2 linked regions of the Cricetulus griseus genome follow. Each later gene encodes a partner of the first gene's protein in a complex. Links are inferred from orthologs where the notes say so. Each region holds a gene or a part of one and is shown on either strand. Other genes may lie near its edges. The genes, in order: Timp1 and Mmp3.

The links.
Region 2: the proteins of Timp1 (region 1) and Mmp3 are in contact, whole or in part, in a crystal structure (PDB 1UEA), measured with the Homo sapiens proteins. The link is inferred for Cricetulus griseus from reciprocal best matches to the Homo sapiens genes TIMP1 and MMP3. Residues at the interface, in NP_003245.1 of Homo sapiens: Cys24, Thr25, Cys26, Val27, Pro28, Pro29, Val52, Thr56, Leu57, Tyr58, Pro87, Ala88, Met89, Glu90, Ser91, Val92, Cys93, Thr121, Cys122, Leu156, Ser157, Pro159, Gln173, Leu174, Gly177, Glu179; in NP_002413.1 of Homo sapiens: Phe100, Thr102, Phe103, Phe171, Tyr172, Gly178, Asn179, Val180, Leu181, Ala182, His183, Ala184, Tyr185, Ala186, Thr207, Thr208, Gly209, Thr210, Val215, His218, Glu219, His222, Phe227, His228, Tyr237, Pro238, Leu239, Tyr240, His241, Ser242.

The regions. Positions count from the first base shown.
Region 1 is NC_048604.1:125,719,959-125,729,723, forward strand, and holds Timp1 (metalloproteinase inhibitor 1), read left to right. Parts: upstream 1-4,494; 5' UTR 4,495-4,650; intron 4,651-5,503; exon of another isoform or gene 5,504-5,506; 5' UTR 5,507-5,514; coding exon 5,515-5,635; intron 5,636-7,662; coding exon 7,663-7,739; intron 7,740-7,988; coding exon 7,989-8,115; intron 8,116-8,310; coding exon 8,311-8,435; intron 8,436-9,137; coding exon 9,138-9,299; 3' UTR 9,300-9,404; downstream 9,405-9,765. Other genes in the region: Syn1 (synapsin-1), read right to left, coding at 465-527. UniProt on the Homo sapiens protein: Metalloproteinase inhibitor that functions by forming one to one complexes with target metalloproteinases, such as collagenases, and irreversibly inactivates them by binding to their catalytic zinc cofactor.
Region 2 is NC_048597.1:121,902,468-121,912,232, reverse strand, and holds the start of Mmp3 (stromelysin-1), read right to left. Parts: upstream 6,321-9,765; coding exon 6,207-6,320; intron 5,358-6,206; coding exon 5,113-5,357; intron 5,021-5,112; coding exon 4,872-5,020; intron 4,700-4,871; coding exon 4,574-4,699; intron 2,687-4,573; coding exon 2,522-2,686; intron 2,367-2,521; coding exon 2,222-2,366; intron 1,243-2,221; coding exon 1,109-1,242; intron 739-1,108; coding exon 579-738; intron 1-578. UniProt on the Homo sapiens protein: Metalloproteinase with a rather broad substrate specificity that can degrade fibronectin, laminin, gelatins of type I, III, IV, and V; collagens III, IV, X, and IX, and cartilage proteoglycans.

The sequences.
Region 1 (9,765 bases):
TTTCTCAATAAAGCTGTAAAAAGAACTGTACATAGGCCATACATAGACATAAAACCTCAGTTGTACACGGAATATACAAACACAGAAGCTGAGACACACTAACTTACAAATTACAAATCTGCTTGCTACATACACACAGACAAAATCAGCTGGATGGAAAGCATACTGGACCCCAAGAGCCTGGAACATAAAAGATGATATGTATTCATCACAGAGCCATGCTTATATATTCATAGCCATATGCTTGGTACACTAGCACAGTAATGGGACATACAAAATTGGCTGATTGCATGAGAGAAATGTGGGCTGAAAAAGAAAATACAAAATCCAGTTATATGAAGGCATCACAGAAAGCATCATCAAACAGAATTTTTGTGCATTGAGTACACAGATGCACATGTAACTGTGTACAGTGCCAGAGCATGCACTATACAAACATGCATGTGTGCACCACTGTGACTCACCTTGCCCATCCCAGAATGTGCGTGGCCCATCTTCACAACCACAGGGTATGTTGTGCTGCTGAGCTAGTGAAGATGAAGGCAGAAGAGGCATAGTCAGAGCAGTAGTGCTGACCTCCAAGAGTTGGTGACCCATAGAATGTGAGCTACACTGGTTGCCATTCCCCCCACCCCCAGAAAGAGGTTGGTCAGAGACAGGCGGAACTGCAGTCAATAGTTTCACAGCGACTCTGAGCCCAGATTGCAGAAAACTGCCTGCCAGTCACTTACTCTGCTCTCTAAGTCCTAGACTATCCATATCTGCTTCCCAGCCAGAGGCCTTAGATAAGGGTGAGGGAATTTCCCAGAAAAGAAAGTTTGTTTTTATGATGATTAGCTATTGGAGTGAGTGTGTGTATGAAGGTGTGGTAGTTAGCATGCAGAATGTCTTCAGTCAAGCCTTGCATGTAAGTTTCATCTTTATGTACACACACACACACACACACACACACACACACACACACACACACACACACATCCCTTCAAAAGTGAGATTACCCAGCCAAAGTCAGAGGTGTCCACATCTATTGAGAAGTCCATATGCATTGAGAAAGACCACCACAGGCTTAAATCACATCGGGGGCTTCGAAGAAATCCAGTCAGTCAGCTCACTTGCTCTTAGCATGTGAGCACGCCCGAACAGCATGCTCTTCACACTCCTAAGACCTACAATCGGCACCTTGGAGCACACACATGAGCTCCCTCCCCTTGCTCACACCTACCTAACAGAAAGAGCCACTCATTCAGTATAGAAGCACACACAACGCTAGAAGCACACAATAAATGGACATATGCATCACTCCCCAGCATGTCCACAATGAACAGAAGGATCAAAACAACATGCAGAACGTGTGTGCACGTTTAGGCATTTCCATAACCAAATTCCTATAACTCAGACCTCATTACATTCCTGGGTCCATGAAAAGTATATCTTGATGCAAAATTATTTTTCCATATCTATGACACAAACATACAGAAAATCAAACACACAGACAACACTCCTGGGTGTGGACATAAATGCAGACAATTATGAGTTAGGTAAAGATGTGTTAAGTTTCCCTATAACCTGGGCTGGGTAGAAGGGACCAGATTAGAGGACCCTAGCCCCATCATATCCCGTGTATAAATTCAGAGCCCCTGCCTCCTACTGACAGGGCAGGGAATGCATTCTTAGAGGGGTTCCTGGGCAGTGGCAGTTCCCAAGAAGCACAGGAAGCCCCATAGTCTAAGGGTGACTGATTGACCTTCAGGTCTCTCCCTCCCTCTACAACTTCCTCCTCCCTCATTTCCCAAATGTGTGTCGTCATGAGGATGGGGGGAGGGCTGAGTGGCATGGGTTTGGAAAGGGGGATGGCGGTAAGGGTGTCATCCAGGCAGCAGGCCAAAGAAACAATGCCAAGGTATGTGTTGCGTGTGAGAAGAGAGAGATCTCCCACTCAGGCGTCTACTCATCACACAGAGAAGTATGAGGCATGCACAGTTATATTTGCAACCTTCAACTCTCAGAAGAAACACCCTTAGATATATGCCTGGCTCTCAGGAAGGGAAATTGAGCCCACCAAGGGACACATGCCAGTCACAGAGGCACAGACACACCAGAGAGCTGTGCACATGCAAGCATACCTACTTCTACTTGCTGAGCTTTCTGGATCCTTTTTATAAACCAACTTTGTTTCCTCTGTTCCTGAGCTTGAACACAGTGCTGTGTGTGCATGTAAGTGTGTCTGTCTGTCATATGTACATACAGAGGGCTTGGGATTTCCTGGAGAGCCGTAACCTGCTATCTTGGCCTTCTTCCTAAGGCCGGGTGAGATCCCGGGTAGATACCATCTCTCTGGGCCTCAGTTTCCTGATCTGCACAAAAGGTATAATCAAGACCAAGCACTTAACACTTTCTTGGGGATCATCAGGTATTTGCACATGCCAGTGAATTCCTCACACTTACCCAGTTCCCCAGATAGAGACAAGCCAAACACCTTGACATCCACCCCACTGCATTTCAAACCTGCACAACAATCAAAATCCTCACATGTAACCAGTTGGCAAAAGTGGGCTGACTCAGGTTTTATAAAGAGCTGGTGTCAGAAGCAGGGTCATAGAGGAGAGACTGGACTTTCCCTCTCTTTACTTCTCCTCAGTCCCGCCACCTACTTACTCAGCCCTGTCTCATCTACTCTCACTCCTCACTTTCACAATCAGACAGTTGAGAATTTTGGTTTCCTTTCCTTTGTTCCTTTCTTTGTATCCCTACCTCCCCACCACAGTGATTTCTTCACTATCATTCCTGGACAGGCCATTTGACCCCTTTCTGTCTCTATTTTCTCATTAAATAATGAAAATATGAATTGTAACTCACAGGCATGTTGGGAAGAATAAATCAATTACTTCAGAGGGGAAAAAATCTTAGTATACACATAAAGTAAACCCGAATCTTCAAAGTGCTGGTTACTATTATCGCTGTTATTACTGATTTGACAACTCTTCATTAATTGACATTAAGGGAGAATGAGGACAATAGCAAATGAAGGAACAAAAAATCCAGTGCTTGCTGCCTGACAACCTGAGTGTGAGTTCGTAGGGAAGGAGAGGACTGGCTCCTGCAGGTGGAGAGCAATACAAGCATGAGTACAGCTACACACACACACACACACACACACACACACACACACACACACTGAATAAATATAAGAAATCTTTTGTATATGGTGAGGGTTCTGTTGAGTGCTGGCAGTAGGTTTTTGTATGCTGTGGTTATTGAGCTAATCTAAATTAACAAAATTTAATTAGCTAAAATGACTGTACACAAAGATCTTAGCAATAGTACACAGTAAGTGCTCAACCAAGTAGCTGCTGTCATCACTATCATTATCATTTTGTGTGTGTGTGTGTGTGTGTGTGTGTGTGTGTGTGTGTGTGTGTGTGTGTGTGTGTGTGACAAGGTCTCACTATGTATGTTCCAGGCTGTCCTGGAACTCACTATGTAGACCAGGCTATCCTCAAACTCTCCGGATCCACTTGCCTGCTGGGATTACAGCCATTGTCATTACTATTGGTCTACCCTGCCTGGATTAATTGAGGGTGTTAATCATCCCATAGAACCTTCCACACGACCCCAGAGAATATCCCTGCATCATCAGGAAGCGGGTGGGCAGTAGTTGCCTCATCCCACCCCACCAGGGATGTGGGCTGGTTGGTGGGAAAGGAGCTGGGCAGGATGGGGTGGGGATGGGTTTTCTACTGACTCACTAGCTTCTTTCACCATCATCCACACCCTCACTCCCCCCATTCTCACCACACTATTCCCTGGTTGCCAAGATTGGGCTCCGCCTGAGTGAGGATCTCAGTGTCAAGAAGCCCAGGTTTAAATCCCAGTTTTGTTCTGTGACCCTGGCAAAGTTCTTCACTTCAGCTATTTGCCTGCTTGATTTTGTTTCTGCTTAAGACAGGGTCTCTCGTAGCACAGACTATCTTCAAACATCCTAAGTTCTAGGCTCACTCATGTGTACAACCACAGCAAACTTTTGGGGATAGGTTACCACCTAAGCTCTATCTGCAGGCCACCTCAGTTCCTCTCCCAGTTCTGACACACTTAACTGCCATCTTCAAAAAATAACAGACACTCTCGGTGAATCAATTTCCTCACTATGTATTTGTGTCTCTTCTCCCATCTCATGGCCCTCAACTCTTTTTCTAGTTTGTCTTCCCCTCTGCCACCCCTCAACAAAAACGCCAGGTCCACTAGGAAAGCCGGCCTTGCAACAAAGTAGATGTACTAAGGCGCAGGAATGAAGCCATTGGCTTCAGCCATAGGAAGTTTGGGGAATGTAGGGAACTGGATAAGCACAGGGCTGTGGGGGCTTGGGCTGCCTTTCCATTTCCCCTTCAAGGCCGCCAGGGAGGAATGCGAGTGACGTGGAGCTGGGGGGAAGGGGCACAGTGGGCTGGCTGGCAGTGGAGGGAGTATCTTTAGGCCGGTCCTCCGGCCCGCCCCTAGGCTTCGATTCCTGCGGTGGGTGGATGAGTAATGCGTCCAGGAAGCCTGGAGGCTGTGATTTCCGCGCCAACTCCGCCCCTTGCATGGACATTTATTCTTCACCGCTCAGTCCCTGCCGCCATCGCCGCAGATCGGGCTTCTAGAGAGACACCAGAGGTAAGTGGGAGCCGGGTGTCCTGGCTGGAGCCTGTGTTGGTGCGACCACCAGGCACATCCGGTTCCCTGCCAGACTAGCTGCTTGACTGGGCTTGCAGGTATCAAGACCTCTATTTGGCCAAGGGGGAATACGAAGGGAAGGTTTTTGGAATGAGTATCCCAAGCTAGACTCTCCGGACTCCCTCATGCCCCTAGCATTCATCCCCAAGTGCTCCAAACCCACAAGCCTCTAATGCCTTAAAGACCTCCCAACTTGCCAACTCCTCTGAATTTTTCATTGTTCCCCCAAACCCCTATAGCTCCCTTAACTCCCCCTGCCCTCAAACTTTGCCATGTCCAGCTCCTGGAACTTCAAAAGTTCTTCTGCCTTCAAATTCCTCAACACTCCCATTACCTTAAACTCCCAAATTCCCCCAGACCCCATAACCCCTAAATTTCCCCCAGTTTCCTAAAATCCCAAACCTCCTCTAAAACCCTTAGTAGCCACAAATCCCCATGCCCATTATATCTTAATCTCCCTCAGCTCCCAGCCTCCCCTTATACTTCTCCAGTTTCCCAAACCCCAAATTCTTGACTCCACAAATGTCAGTCTCCAGACTTCTCCAACTCCACTAAATTCTCAAACTTCTCAGCTCCTGGACTCATCAACTGCCACAACTCCATTATCTTCCTATTCACTGTCTCCTAAATCACTGGAACTCAATAAAACCCAAAACTTTCCCAACTGTTTAAGCCCCTAAACCTCTCCAGGTTTCTCACCCCTTAAGATTCTCAGGGTTCCCTAATCTCCCTAGGGCCAATGGGTAAACAGATCAGTTGGGCTGGGGATCAACTACTACCTTGTCTCTCCCAGCAGATACCACTATGGCCCCCTTTGCATCTCTGGCCTCAGGCATCCTCTTGTTGCTATCACTGATAACCTCCAGCAAGGCCTGTAGCTGTGCCCCACCCCACCCACAGACAGCCTTCTGCAACTCCGACCTGGGTGAGTCTAGCCCCCTTTCTGTGCCTCTTAGTCCAATAGGGCTCATGATGGCAGTTATCTCTACAACAGTTGTACTTACCCTTGCATAGATCCACTTTGGCCATATTGACATCCTTAGGCCTAAGCCCACCTTTGTGTTGGCTGTTCCCTCCCAGGTAGATATTTCTCTGTAGTTATTCACATGGGTGGCTACCTCAAGAGTCATCTTACTGGGGTGCCTGTCTACTTTGTTTAAATTTTAATCCCTGCCATATAGTACATCTGATTCCCTGTTAAATAAAACTGTGAATTACACTTCTTAGGGCACAGAAAGGCAGACTTTATTCAGGACCATGGCAATCAGATTTTTCAGTCAGGGAGAGAGATTGGGCTTAACTCTCAACATAGCATAGGCAAATGGAACTCTACAGCCAAGGAACAGTTTAGGGATTGGTGACTGGGAAATCACTGAGAAGAAATATCACAGGCAAGGAGTAAAAAGATTCAGGCTAAGCCCATTTTTTAAAAAAAGATTTATTTTTGCTGGGCGTCGGTGGCACACGCCTTTGATCCCAGCACTCAGGAGGCAGAGGCAGGCTGATCTCTGTGAGTTCGAGGTCAGCCTGGTCTCCAGAGTGAGTGCCAGGATAGGCTCCAAAGCTACACAGAGAAACCCTGTCTCGAAAAAAAAAAACAAAAAGGTTTATTTTTATTTATGTCTATGTGTGTGTGCACCATGTGTGGTGTGCAGGTGCCTGTGGAATCCAGAAGGCATCAGATCCCCTGGAGCTGGAGTTACAAGTGGTTGTGAGCCATGCTATGTGGATGCTGGGAATCAAACTTGGGTTCTCTAGAAGAGCAGCAAGTGTTCTGAACCATTAAGACATCTCTCGAGCCCATGAGCTCACTTTTTTGAGAGTAGGTCTCACTATGTAGCCCAGGCTGGCTTTGAACCCTTCATCCTCCTCACTCAGCCTTCCAAGTGCCGAGATTACAGGCCTGTGCCACCATACCCAGTTCAGGACTCTTGCTGAGAACTGGCCAGTGTAATCACCTGATGGTCAGTGGAAAATATGGAGCCCCTTCACATATCGAGGAGAGTCAGATGAGGGTGGGTTTTTCACTAAACTGATTTAGTATACTTTGGTACAAGTGGATTTTTCTTTTTCTTTTTCTTTTCTTTTCTTTTCTTTTTTTTTTTTTTTTGGTTTTTCGAGACAGGGCTTATCTGTGTAACATCCCTGGCAGTCCTGGAACTCCTATCTGTAGACCAGGCTTGCCTCAAATTCACAGAGATCTGCTTGCCTCTGCCTCCCGATTGCTGGTATTAAAGGTGTGAACCACCACCACCTGGCATCTACAACTGCATTTTTAAGAGAAACTGCACTTATAAGCTTGGAAGAAGGTTAATGAGCCTGAGTAAATTGTGGTCAAGCAAAGAATATGTGTCAATCTCCTCCCTTTTCTAATTCTCCATCATACTTAACAGCCTTTAACAATCCATATACCTTTTTCTCCATACTGGGGATTGAACCTAGGACTTTTCATATGCTAAGCAAATTGAGGTACAAACCCAACCCTTTTGTGAATTTCATTTTAAAACAGGGTCTCACTAAATTGTCTAGACTGGTCTTGAACTCACACTGTAGTGGTCCTCCTTCATCACCTTGACAGAGCTGGGGTTACAGGTTTGTGCCACCATGCCTGGCTACTTAATTTTAGTTATATCCTCCTGGCTTGAATGTGAGATCCACAAGGAAATGGATTCCTGTGTTTGGGTCACTGTTGTGTCCCTAACACCCTGAACAGTGGCTGCATATATCAGGCACTCCAAAATATTTGTTGAGAAAGCCAACAGATGGATATATGAAAAGTGCTTAAAACAGTACCTGGAAGAGTAGACAATGTATAGATGAATCAATCAACAGACATGGAAACATGGAAACCATTAAGTGTGCTGTCTCTATTAGAATTATGCTTGTATATATGTTTTGCTGTTATGGGTTCATGCTGCTCACTTAACTCCTTATTTTCCCCTTCCTTTCTAGTCATAAGGGCTAAATTCATGGGGCCCCCAGAAATCATTTTCAACTTATACCAACGTTATGAGATCAAGATGACTAAGGTATTCCTTCCTTCCTCCCTCCCTCCCTTCCTCCCTCCTTCTCTCCCTCTCTCCCTCCCTCCTCTTTCCCTGTCTCCCTCCATAGCCATATTAACCTCTTCCTCCTCCTCAAAATACTAGCATCTAGCCTTTGGTTGGTGTGGACGTTTCCCATAATTTTGTGATTTAGATATATGACATCAGGTTAAGAGGTAATGGAGTGGGAGGATTAAATCAGTAAAAGATAGACTTTTTGTCACTCATGGGCAGATGCTCAAAGGATTCGACGCTGTGGGAAATGCCGCAGATTTCCGGTTCGCCTACACCCCAGCCCTTGAGAGCCTCTGCGGATATGTCCACAAGTCCCAGAACCGCAGCGAGGAGTTTCTCATCGCGGGTGAGGCCCGCCCCTTCGCTTTGGGCCACACCCCTTCATCCTCAGATGCTTCCTGGCAACTGGGAGGAGCGAGGCTCTAAAGGGAAAGGACCTGGTTGAAATGGGGGCGGGAAGGTTTGTAAACTAATGCTAATCAGGTAACCCCAGCACCACCCGGCCAATCAAAAGCCTGTTGGTTTCTCCATTCCCTTACAGGACGCCTAAGGAATGGAAGTTTGCACATCAGTGCCTGCAGCTTCTTGGTTCCCTGGTATAGCCTGACCCCTGCTCAGCAAAAAGCCTTCTCAAAGACGTATAGTGCTGGCTGTGGGGTGTGCACAGTAAGTTCCTAGAACCAGCTCTCTTTCTGGAGATAATACCTGGAACGGTTTCTTTTTCCCTCTGGCTATTCTTTGTTATTGTAGCTGCTTCCCAAACCCAACCACTGCCTTTAATTTCTCTTGTTGTCCCAAACCTGCTCTTTTGGAGATACTGGTTGTTCTATTATCTTGGGACTGCATGTTCCCTGAACCTTCTCTGCCTCTCTAACTTTTCTTTTGTGTCTACTCTGAAATACTGCTGTCTGTTTCTGATCTCCCAAGATTGGGTTTGGCTTCCCAGGCATGTTCTGCAAGAATTCAACGTGTGATTTTCCAAATCCACAGGGATATGTCGACCTGGCTATTTCAAAACTGTTCCCTGACAGCAATAAATATCCTCTGACCTCAGTCACTGTCTGAGAGCCCCGTTGCCTATTCTTATGCTTAACCTCTCTGCATGCCAACTGTTACCCTCTACTCAGTTCTCTGCCCTGTGAGGCCTGCCTGAGTGACTTCAAGAGATAGTTTCCTACCCACCATTCCAGAACACTGGCTTTCTGTTCCCCAAATGGGAGAAGCTGTTCTCGGGTCTAAACACAGGTGGGGCAATGTCAAGCCTTCCCAGCTGCTCTGTGTTGCCAGAAGGAGAGTGGAACACTCTCCATAGGGGAGGGAACAGGGGAAGAAGAAGCCCCCAGAGTGGACCTTTCTCTCATCTTCCAGGTGTTTCCCTGTTCAACCATGCCTTGCAAACTGGAGAGTGATACTCATTGCTTGTGGACAGATCAGATCCTCACGGGCTCTGAGAAGGGCTACCAGAGCCGTAACTTTGCCTGCTTGCCTCGGAATCCACAGTTGTGTGCCTGGCAATCCCTGAGGGCCTAGATGACCCAAAGCCTACCCCCAGTGGAAGCTGAAGCCTGCACACTGCTCCCCTCCCCTCCATCTTTCTTTCTTTTAGACAGTGAAATAAAGAACTACCACACAGCAGTGCCGTTTCAGTGTAGTGTCTGGGAACAAACTCAAGACAATGATAACCTGGTGGGAGCATCCAGGGTCCAATGAAAAATGAATCCATTTGAAATGTTGAGTTTGGAGGCTGGAAATGTAACTTAGTGGTAGAGCAGCTGTTTTTCATGTACAAAGCCTCAGGGTCAATCTCTAGCAAAAAAGAAAGGAACAAAGGCCAACCTAGTCTACAGAGAGAGAGAGAATTCTAGGACAGCCAGGACTACATACTACCCTGTTTCCAAAATCTGAAACAAGAAAAAAAAAGGAAAAAGTGTTGGGTTTTTATACTTTACAAAAAAATAATATATTGGTAATAATCTAAACATTGGCATTAGTACTG
Region 2 (9,765 bases), on another chromosome or scaffold:
GGATGGTCTATCTTGATGTCTCAATACCTGGACTGATAGCCTGCAAGGAGTCATTAGTGCAAACCATGAAACTGGTTGGCTATTGTGTCTCATTTCTAGCCAGGCAGAGGTTATCCGTATATGAGCTCAGCTGAAGTCCTTGAGATGAAGACAAGATCAATGCACACACCGGAGTCAATGAAGGCTCTGGGGCACTGGGAAATGAGCAATAAACTGAGGTGTGGGCTCCTAATAAGGACATAAAGGCCAGTTGGACTTGAAGTTCAGAAAGAAAGACTTCATGAAGGTGGAGGGAATTAAGTCTGAGCTTGAAGCATATGTAGGATTTAGCAGGTAGAGAAGAGGGGCTCTACATGAGGTGTGTGTGTGGCGGGGGTGGGGGCGGGGCTGGGGAGTGGGGAGGCACACTCTAAACAGGAACACTTAAGAAATGCCTGTGTTTCCAAGCCCTCCCCACAGTTGTCAAAATCCCTGTCCTCGTTCAGAAAGGAGAGTGAGGATAAGGGAAGTGTTTCCTCAGAGAGAGAAAGCAACTCTCAAGTCAGTCTCTTCACAAAACCATCCTCACAGCATCTCACCTCCAGTATTTGTCCTCTACAAAGAAGTACGTCTTCTTCTTCTCCTTGTCAGAAACGGCGGCATCAATCTTCCCAACAGTTGCAGGGAGACCCAAAGTGTGGATGCTTTTAGGGTAGCCTGCTTGCTCCTCGTGCCCTCGGACAGCCCAGAACTGATCCCCTGTACAGAAACAAAACAGCAACAGAAACAGCAGTCATGTTAAAAGTCCAGTAAGGATGTTGTGGAAATACAATCTTAGCACCTTGTCTTTTTGTGGTGAATAGATTTAGGCCTTAGCTCTAGGATGGTCAGTCAACAAAAATGCACAGCTGGGAACAATGAGCTAGGAACAAATGAGGTGATTTTCAACCCAGTCAATGTATCTCCCTGAGTTCACTTTTTAACTATAAATAAAATGTTGGTTTTATGTGTTTCTTTATTATCTTTGGCTATTTTTTAATTGAACAGAATTTGACATAGTAAAGCCCTGTTCAGTTTTCCCATCAGAAGGCTGTTTCACTAAGTTAAAGCAATGTTGTGGAAGAATCACCTTTAAATATGAAAACAGTGTCTCTGTTAGTAACCTCATATGCGGCATCCATGCTGGAAGGGAGGGAGGGCCAAAATGAAGAAATCAAATAAAAGCCAGCCTCAGGGGTCCTCAAAGATTTTCGCCAAAAATGCCTAAAAAATAGATGTAAAAGAAAAATAGCATTTGAAAAACAGCCTTTTATCTTTAGTGTATTATCCTGGGTGTCAGTGCTAATTCACCCCATGTTCTCTCATCCACTAGTGCTCTCTCTCTCTCTCTCTCTCTCTCTCTCTCTCTCTCTCTCTCTCTCAGACTGCAACAGACCTCCTGTCATAGATTCCCAGAGCAATATCTGTGAAACCAAAGTTCTCCACCATGTCAATTAATTAGTTCAGCATAAGCTTTAAGTACATGTAATAAATGTGAAACAGTGTGTAATTGGTAATTAAAGTACCACTCACACTACCCAAAAAGATAGACAGTGAGTGAGAGGTGTGTGTGCCTGTGCATGGGTGTGATGTATAAATATATCCTTGTACAGAAACATCCAGGATACACAAGAGATCTTGAACTAGGGTATGGTGGCACAGCCCCTAATCCTAGCACTTGGGAAGAGGCAAGAGCATAACAGCTTCCAGCCAGTCTGGGCCTCTCAAAATATCCAGATTGCTTAAGTGTGGAGAAATCTGGGGAAGAAAACTTTCAGCTCCCTTTCATGCAGATGAATGTTTTCTCCCAGGCATACTTACTGAGCAGTACATGAACCGATAAAATATGATGCTTCTCCTAGTGTCATTTTGAAAGAAAGTAAAGATAAAACTCTGCCTCTGAGGATCATTTCTACCCTCTAAACAGATAAACTGTGCTCTGAGGATCATTTCTACCCTCTAAACAACAGCCTATGACTAGAACATCTGGGGACAAAACCTCAGTGACAAGAATCAAACTATCCAGCTTCAAAAATGAACTTGACAGTTTTAGAAACATGTGGAAAGGTCAGTGTCAGATCTGAGAGAGTCCAGGCTTGAGAGTTTGTCTTTAAAATGCTTATATTGATTGTTTTCCTGGTTATTGCCCTTTCTAAGCAATTTTCATAAAAATAGATAGCAATTTAGGGTTCTTGGGTCTGACCTGTCTTTAAAAAACAAGAATTCTCCCCGAAGGGTGCTGACTGCATCAAAGGACAAAGCAGGACTGCACATCAGCGATGATTCAGGTTCCAGAGAGTTAGGTTTGGTGGGTACCACGGGGACATCAGGGGATGCTGGGGGAGGTCCTAAAGGGAACAGGTTAAAGGAGGCAACGTTAAGAGAAATGTGGCCTGCATGTCAATTCTGTGCTCCCCAAACACCCCCAAGGACTCTGAATCTAATCACAAATACTTATGTAACATCACAACAGCCTCAAGTACTCCTTTGTCCCGTCACTCACCGTAGAGGGACTGAATGCCATCCACATCATCTTGAGAGAGACGGAAGCGGGCCAGGTCTCCGGAGGACTTGTAGACTGGGTACATCAATGCTTCAGGCTTGGCTGAGTGAAAGAGGCCCAGTGAGTGGCCAAGTTCATGAGCAGCAACCAGGAATAAGTTGGTACCTATGGAAGAAATCATAAATAATAGTTGCTTATCCTTAACTACATCTACATCATATGGGCCAGTTGACACAGCATTCATTTACTTCCTGAAAACACACAGACTTGTACTCACCTTGTTTGCTGTCTCGTTGAATAATAGACTGACCCCACACTTGGCAGGAAAACAGTATATTTTAAAACTCGTGCTTGAAATCAATCTAAAGTCTCCAAACTCATCCAGTGGTCCCTCTCTTTGACCTCAAACTGTCTGAACAGCAGGTCTCACTCATTGTTGTTAGAAATGGAGCCTGTTATTTATTGTTTAGCATATCAGAGCTCTCTCTTTTCCTTTGTCCAGGAAAAGCTAAAAGTACTCCAGCATGTGATTAGCATTTGACAATTTCAATATCAGCTAACTAATCTCAGGGTAGTATTCATCTTAATTCTAAAACCCTTAAATAACCGGAACCCTACTCTTTCTTTCTTTTCTTTCTTTCTTTCTTTCTTTCTTTCTTTCTTTCTTTCTTTTTTGGTTTTTTTTTCCAGACAGGGTTTCTCTGTGGCTTTGGAGACTGTCCTGGAACTAGCTCTTGTAGACCAGGCTGGTCTCGAACTCACAGAGATCCGCCTGCCTCTGCCTCCCAAGTGCTGGGATTAAAGGTGTGTGACACTACCGCCCAGCATGAACCCTACTCTTTCTATCGGATTTTACCTACATCATTTTATAGCTTCATCATCCTTTTACATACCAAGTGCCAAAAATGGCTAAGGATACAGATGTCATAGGGTTTGTAAAATTGGTTTTAAACATAACATGCATAAGTGTTTATCATAAATGAGGTCTTAGACTCTAACTGTATTCACATTCTCATTAGAGTTGTGTGAAAGAATGCCTTCAGTGCTGAGATCAGGATGTGTGAGGTGATTAGGACTGGCAGAACTTTCCTAAATATTCCCTATGGATGTTGTGGGCCAGAGTGTGTCCTAATTTTGAATAAGGGTCCTCTGGGGGAAATGCTAATTCTACAAAACATGAATTTTATTCAGTGTAAAAGCTAGATTTGTATTTTCAACAGGTATCAGTTTATGTTTTCATTGTGAATCCAGTTCAGTCTCAAAAGCAATACAATTTATTTCAGCCAAGTTTTGAAAACTTAGTCAATCCCTGAAGATAAGAACTAAAAAATCTTCTGCCTAGACAGTTCATTGTACTTCAGGGATAGTTCTCTTTCGGAAACTGATCAAAATTCATCTTAACCAGAAATCACAAAAAGGTGAGCTTAATAAAACCAACCAACCAAAATAAACAAAAATCTCAGATTTCTGAAGTTTCATTTTGGCTTCTAGTTTGAAAAGTAAAAGGGGAAAAACAAGAGTCAAGTAGTGCTCTATTGTACTGCCTGAATATCTACAATTTGATACCATTAGGCAGTCTTTAGTAATAGTAGCCTGTAGATCACACAAGATCCACAACTGTTAAAAATGTAGTGTTTTCCCTTTATCGAGAATAGATTCTTTTCTCATACAATATGTTCTGATTAGATTTTCTACTTCCTCTGCTCCTCCCAGTTCCTCTCCACCTCCCTATCACATCCAGATCCCCTCCCTTTCTGTCTCTCATTGGAAAAGAACAGGGTTCTAAGGGATAACAACAAAATATAGGATAAGACAAAAACCATCACATCTGAGTTGGACAGGTCAAACATTTAGTGACAGATTTTATATTGTGCTTATTAGAAAAATAAATGCATTTTAGTTATCTGGAAATACACTAAGCAATGATTAAAACAAAAAATGTATTCCACTGGAATCCAGAACACATTCTAGCATTAGTACAGCTGATTATGAAAATTTGCCCAAATATGAAAAGAAACTAAACTAAGTCATGCTGTGAGGTAGAGCACTAACCTGTCGTGTCCTCAGTCCACTGTTCATCATCATCAAAGTGAGCGTCTCCATTAATCCCCAGCCCAGGTGCATACGCATGAGCCAAGACTGCTCCAGGCCCATCAAAAGGGATGAAGTCTCCATGTTCTGAAGGGAGAATATATATATATATATATATATATATATATAATATATATATATATATATGTACACACACACACACACACACACACACACACACACCTGCACCAATTGCTAATTAGGACTCAGTAAAACACCACTGGGCAATGTGTGCTTCAGGCAGTTCTTGCATTTTTACCTCCAGCTGCAAAGGAGATCATTATGTCAGCCTCTCCTTCAGAGCGCTTGGAGAACGTGAGTGGGGTCACCTCTTCCCAGACTTTCAGTGCTTTCTCAATGGCAGAGTCCACACTCTCTTTCGGTAAATCTGGTGTATAATTCACAATCCTGCATGAGAGAAGAGGAAGAAGGCAGTGTGTGCTGCTCGATGACTCTGACACAGTGTTAACACGTGTGAAAACTTCGGACCCGTTACCTACCTATAGGTGAGGTGGGTTTCCCTCCACTTTGGTGAACCTGGAAAGGTGCTGAAATCACCGACATCGGGGACGCCACACCTGGGCTTGAGCATCACATCCATAGTGCTGGAGTCCAGCCTCCCTGTCATCTCCAGCCCGAGGAACTTCTGCATTTCTTGGATTTTTTTGACAACAGGACTATTGTTCTTTTTCTCAGTGAACTGCTTCACATCTTTTGCAAGGCCGTAGTAGTTTTCTAAGTATTTCTAAAGGGATCAATGTCACCCTTACGTCACAATTCTGATCTCTTTTAGCTATTGCTATTTTTAGTAAATGTGTGTATTCATATACCTTCATTTCATTTATTCATTCATTCATTCATTCCAGTATCTCACTATCTAACCAAGAAACTCCTTTGAATTCATGCTCTTCTGCATCTGGCTCCTGAACCCTGAGATTACAGGACTGGACTCAAAGCCAGGCAAGGGCTTTACTTTTCTTAGTCTCTTTAACCGATTTTTCTCATTCACTGAAATCATAAGCATACTATTTCATTTAATTTGTCAGTGATAGCTCCTCCTTCTTTGCTTTATTTTTGAAACGCAACATCTCTGTTTGCCACTAAAGCACTGAAAGTGAGGGGATGAATTCATAAGTATTTAGTGCAAAGAAAACTAACAGGAATAAATAAACATTTATGAGAATATTTGTCAGGGTAATTTTATTTAATTTCCCCAATTTTATAGTTTTCACAGGATGTGGCTTGCTAGGGAAAAATTAGGCAAGGCTCTCATTTATTAACACTATTAATATTTTTTCTAAAATGTAATGGACTCAAACTGTAAAGGAAGGTCCGAAGCAAGGCACAGTTCATGCTCTTTTTCCTTATCACACCTTTACCTCCAGCGTTAGTGCTGCTGCTTCCGCCATGCTGTGTGATATTGAAAGTATTTATGGCCTTTGTTTCCTCTCATACAAAAGGAAGAATCATGTGATATTGAGACCCAACAGCTTCTAAGCCTCCTCCACTGTGGAATCACTCATTCACAAGCAGTCAGAACCGATCTATATAATGTAAAGCTGTGCCCTGCCGAAGAGCATGGAGGCCAACTTACCTGAAGAAGCTCCATACCGGTGTCCTCCTCCCTTGCACTACCACCATACAGAGGGTAGGCTGAGCAAACTGCTCCACACAGCCATAGCGGGACCAGGACCAAGAGACTCTTCATTTCCGCTGGCTTTCCTCAGCTCTATGCTGCCTTTGCCGTGTTCTCTGCCCACCTCCTTCTACAAACACCCTCCTGAACCCAAGTTTTATAGAGTAACAGTGCTTTTAGGGATGACCCACAAACTGACTCATCATTGCTTCCACCCAAATGGGACTGCTTCCAAAAGCCGAAAATCAAAGTAGGGTGTTACAACTTTCTTTACCAAGTTCTCTGAACCTTCTGAATTTTGCAAGGCAAAACAGTGATTAATCGCCAGGAAATGCTTCCTGCCTGGCAGGAGAGAAAACTGGGATTTTTTTTTTTTAATTTGGAAAACTTAATTATAGTTCAGACACAGTAATGTTTGTGACTCGGATAGAAGTGGACTAACTTGGTAAAAGGCCCAAGTTGTGCAGAACTTCTAGAAGCCAAAGCTAAATACAGTGAGATGTGGGTAAGGAAAATAAATACCTATATAGATAGCTACACTTAATACTATATGTCACCACAGCCCATATACTATATTCCACACACAGGATGGAATATCCAGAAGGAAACCTAAAGGAAAAAACCCACCACTGATTTCTTTTATTTTTTTCCTTCAGATTTTTAAAATTTGAATTAGAAACAAGATTGTTTTATATGACAATCCTACTTCCCTTCTCCCTCCCACCCTCCCCTACCCTCCAACTAAAACACATATCCTTTCTGCTCCCCAGATGGTGAGGTCTTCCATAGGGTGTCATCAGAATCTATCATAGCCTTTGGGATAGAGCCTGGGCCCATCCCCACATGTCTTGGTTCAGGGAGTATGCCTCTGTGTGGAATGGGCTCCCAAAGTCCACGCCTATGCTAAGGATAAGTACTGTAGATTTCCGAGGTTTCCTCAATGAAATCCATGTTCCTGGGTCAGTCCCATGCTGGTATCCCAGCTATCAGTCTGGGGAGCAAGAGTTCTCCGATGTTCAGGTCAGTTGTCTCTGTGGGTTTCACCAGCCTGATCTGGACCCCTTTGCTCTTCACTCATCCTCTGCATCTGGATTCCAGTTCAGTTCAGTGGTAAGTTGTGGGTGTCTGCTTCTACATCCACCAACTGCTGAAAGAGGGCTATCAGGTGCCATATAAGTCAGTCATCAATCTTGTTATGGGGGGGCATTAAAGGGCATTAAAGAGTAGCCTCTCCTCTGTTGCTTAGATTGTGAGCTGGTGTCATCTTTGTAGATCTCCAGACATTTCCCTAGTGCCTGATTTCTCTGCAAACCTAAAATGTCTCCTTCTATTATAGTATCTCCATTCTTTTTATCCTCTATTCTTCACCTGACTCAAACTTTCTGCTCCCTCATGTCCTCTGCATCCCTCCTTTTCTTCCCTTCTCATTCTCCTAGCTCCCTTCCCCTTCTTCCCCTGCTCTCAATTTGCTCAGAGGATCTTGACCCTTTCCCCTTCTCCAGGGGACTATGTTTGTCTCTTTCAGGGTACTCCTTATTTACTAGCTTCTCTGGCAGTGTAGATTGTAGGCTGGTAATCCTTTACTCTATGTCTAAAATCAGCATATGAGTGAGTACATACCATGTTTCTCTATTTGTGATTGGGTTACCTCGCTCAGATTGTTTCTTCTAGTTCCATCCATTTTCCTGCAAATTTCAAGATTCCATTGTTTTTTTTTTCCGCTGAGTAGTACTCCATTGTGTAAATGTACCACATTTTCTGTATCCATTCTTCAGTTGAGGGGCATCTAGGTTGCTTCCAGTTTCTGGCTATTACAAATAGTGCTGCTATGAACATCGTTGAACAGATGTCCTTGTTGTATGAATGTGCTTCTTTTGGGTATATGCCTAATAGTGGAATTGCTGGATCTTGTGGTAGACTGATTCCCATTTTCTTGAGGAGTCACCATACTGATTTCCAAAGTGGTTGTACAAACTGGCACTCCCACCAGCAGTGGAGAAGTGTTCCCCTTTCTCCACATCCTCTCCAGCATAAACTGAAATTGGCGTTTTTGATTTTGGCCATTCTGACAGGAGTAAGATGGTATCACAGAGTTATTTTAATTTGCATTTCCCTGATGGCTAAGGATGTTGAACACTTTCTTATGTGTCTTTCGGCCATTTTAGATTCCTCTATTGAGAATTGTCTATATAGTTCTGTACCACACTTTTAATTGCATTTTTTTTTTTTTTTTTTGGTGATTTGGAGACTAGCTTCTTGAGTTCTTTGTATATTTTGGAGATCAGCCCTCTGTCAGATGTGGGGTTGGTTAATATATTTTCCCAGTCTGTGGGCTATGTTTTGTCTTGCTGACTTTGTCCTTTGCCTTATAGAAGCTTCTCAGTTTCAGGAAGTCCCATTTATCAATTGGTTGATCTCAGTGTCTGTGCTACTGGTGTTATGTTCAGGAAGCAGTCTCCTGTTTCTTCATGTGGGCATTTAGCACTATGAACTTTCCTCTTAGCACTGCTTTCAAAATATTCCATAGGTTTGGATATGTTGTGTCCGCATTCTCATTGAATTCTAGGAAATCTTTAATTTCTTTTTTTATTTCTTCCTGGACCCATGAATTGTGCAATTGGGTGTTACTTAATTTCCATGAGTTTGTAGGTTTTCTGTAATTCGTGTTGTTGTTGAATTCTAACTTTAAAGCATGGTGGTCTGATAAAATACAGGGGGTTATTTCAAGTTTTTTGTACCTGTTGAGGTTTGCTATGTTGCTGAGTATGTGGTTGATTTCAGAGAAGGTTCCATGTGGCACTTAGAAGAAGGTGAATTGTTTTGTATTTGGATGGAATATTCTATACATATCTGTTAAGTCCAATTGTGCCATAACTTCTATTAGTTCCTTTGTTTCTTTTTTAAGTTTCTGTCTGGTGTTCCTGTCCAGTGATGAGAGTGGGGTGATGAAGTCTCCCACTATAAGTGTGTGCGGTTTTATGTGTGATTTGAGTTTTAGTAATGTTTCTTTTACAAACGTGGATGCCTTTTTATTTGGGGCATAAATGTTCAGAACTGAGACTTTATCCTGATGGATTTCTCCTGTGGATGGGTAGGAAGTGACCTCCTTCATCTCTTTTGATTGATTTTAGTTTAAAATCCAGTTTGTTGGATATTAGGAATGCTACCTCTGCTTGTTTCTTGGGTCCATTTGATTGGAAAATCTTTCCCCAACCTTTAATTCTTAGGTACCATCTGTCTTTGAAGTGTGTTTCTTATATGCAGCAGAAGGAAGGATTCTGTCTTCTTATCCATTCTGCTAATCTGTGTCTTTTTATAGGGGAGTTAAGACCATTAATGTTGATGGATATTAATCACCATTGATTGTTCATTCTTGTTTGCTTTTGATTTGGTGATCATGGCAAGATTATGTGTAGGATTCTATTCCTTTTCCATTTGGCTATTGGTAAAGTGGGATTATCTATTGCCTGTATTCTGGTTGTAGTTAACTTCCTTGGGTTGCAGTTTTCCTTCCAGA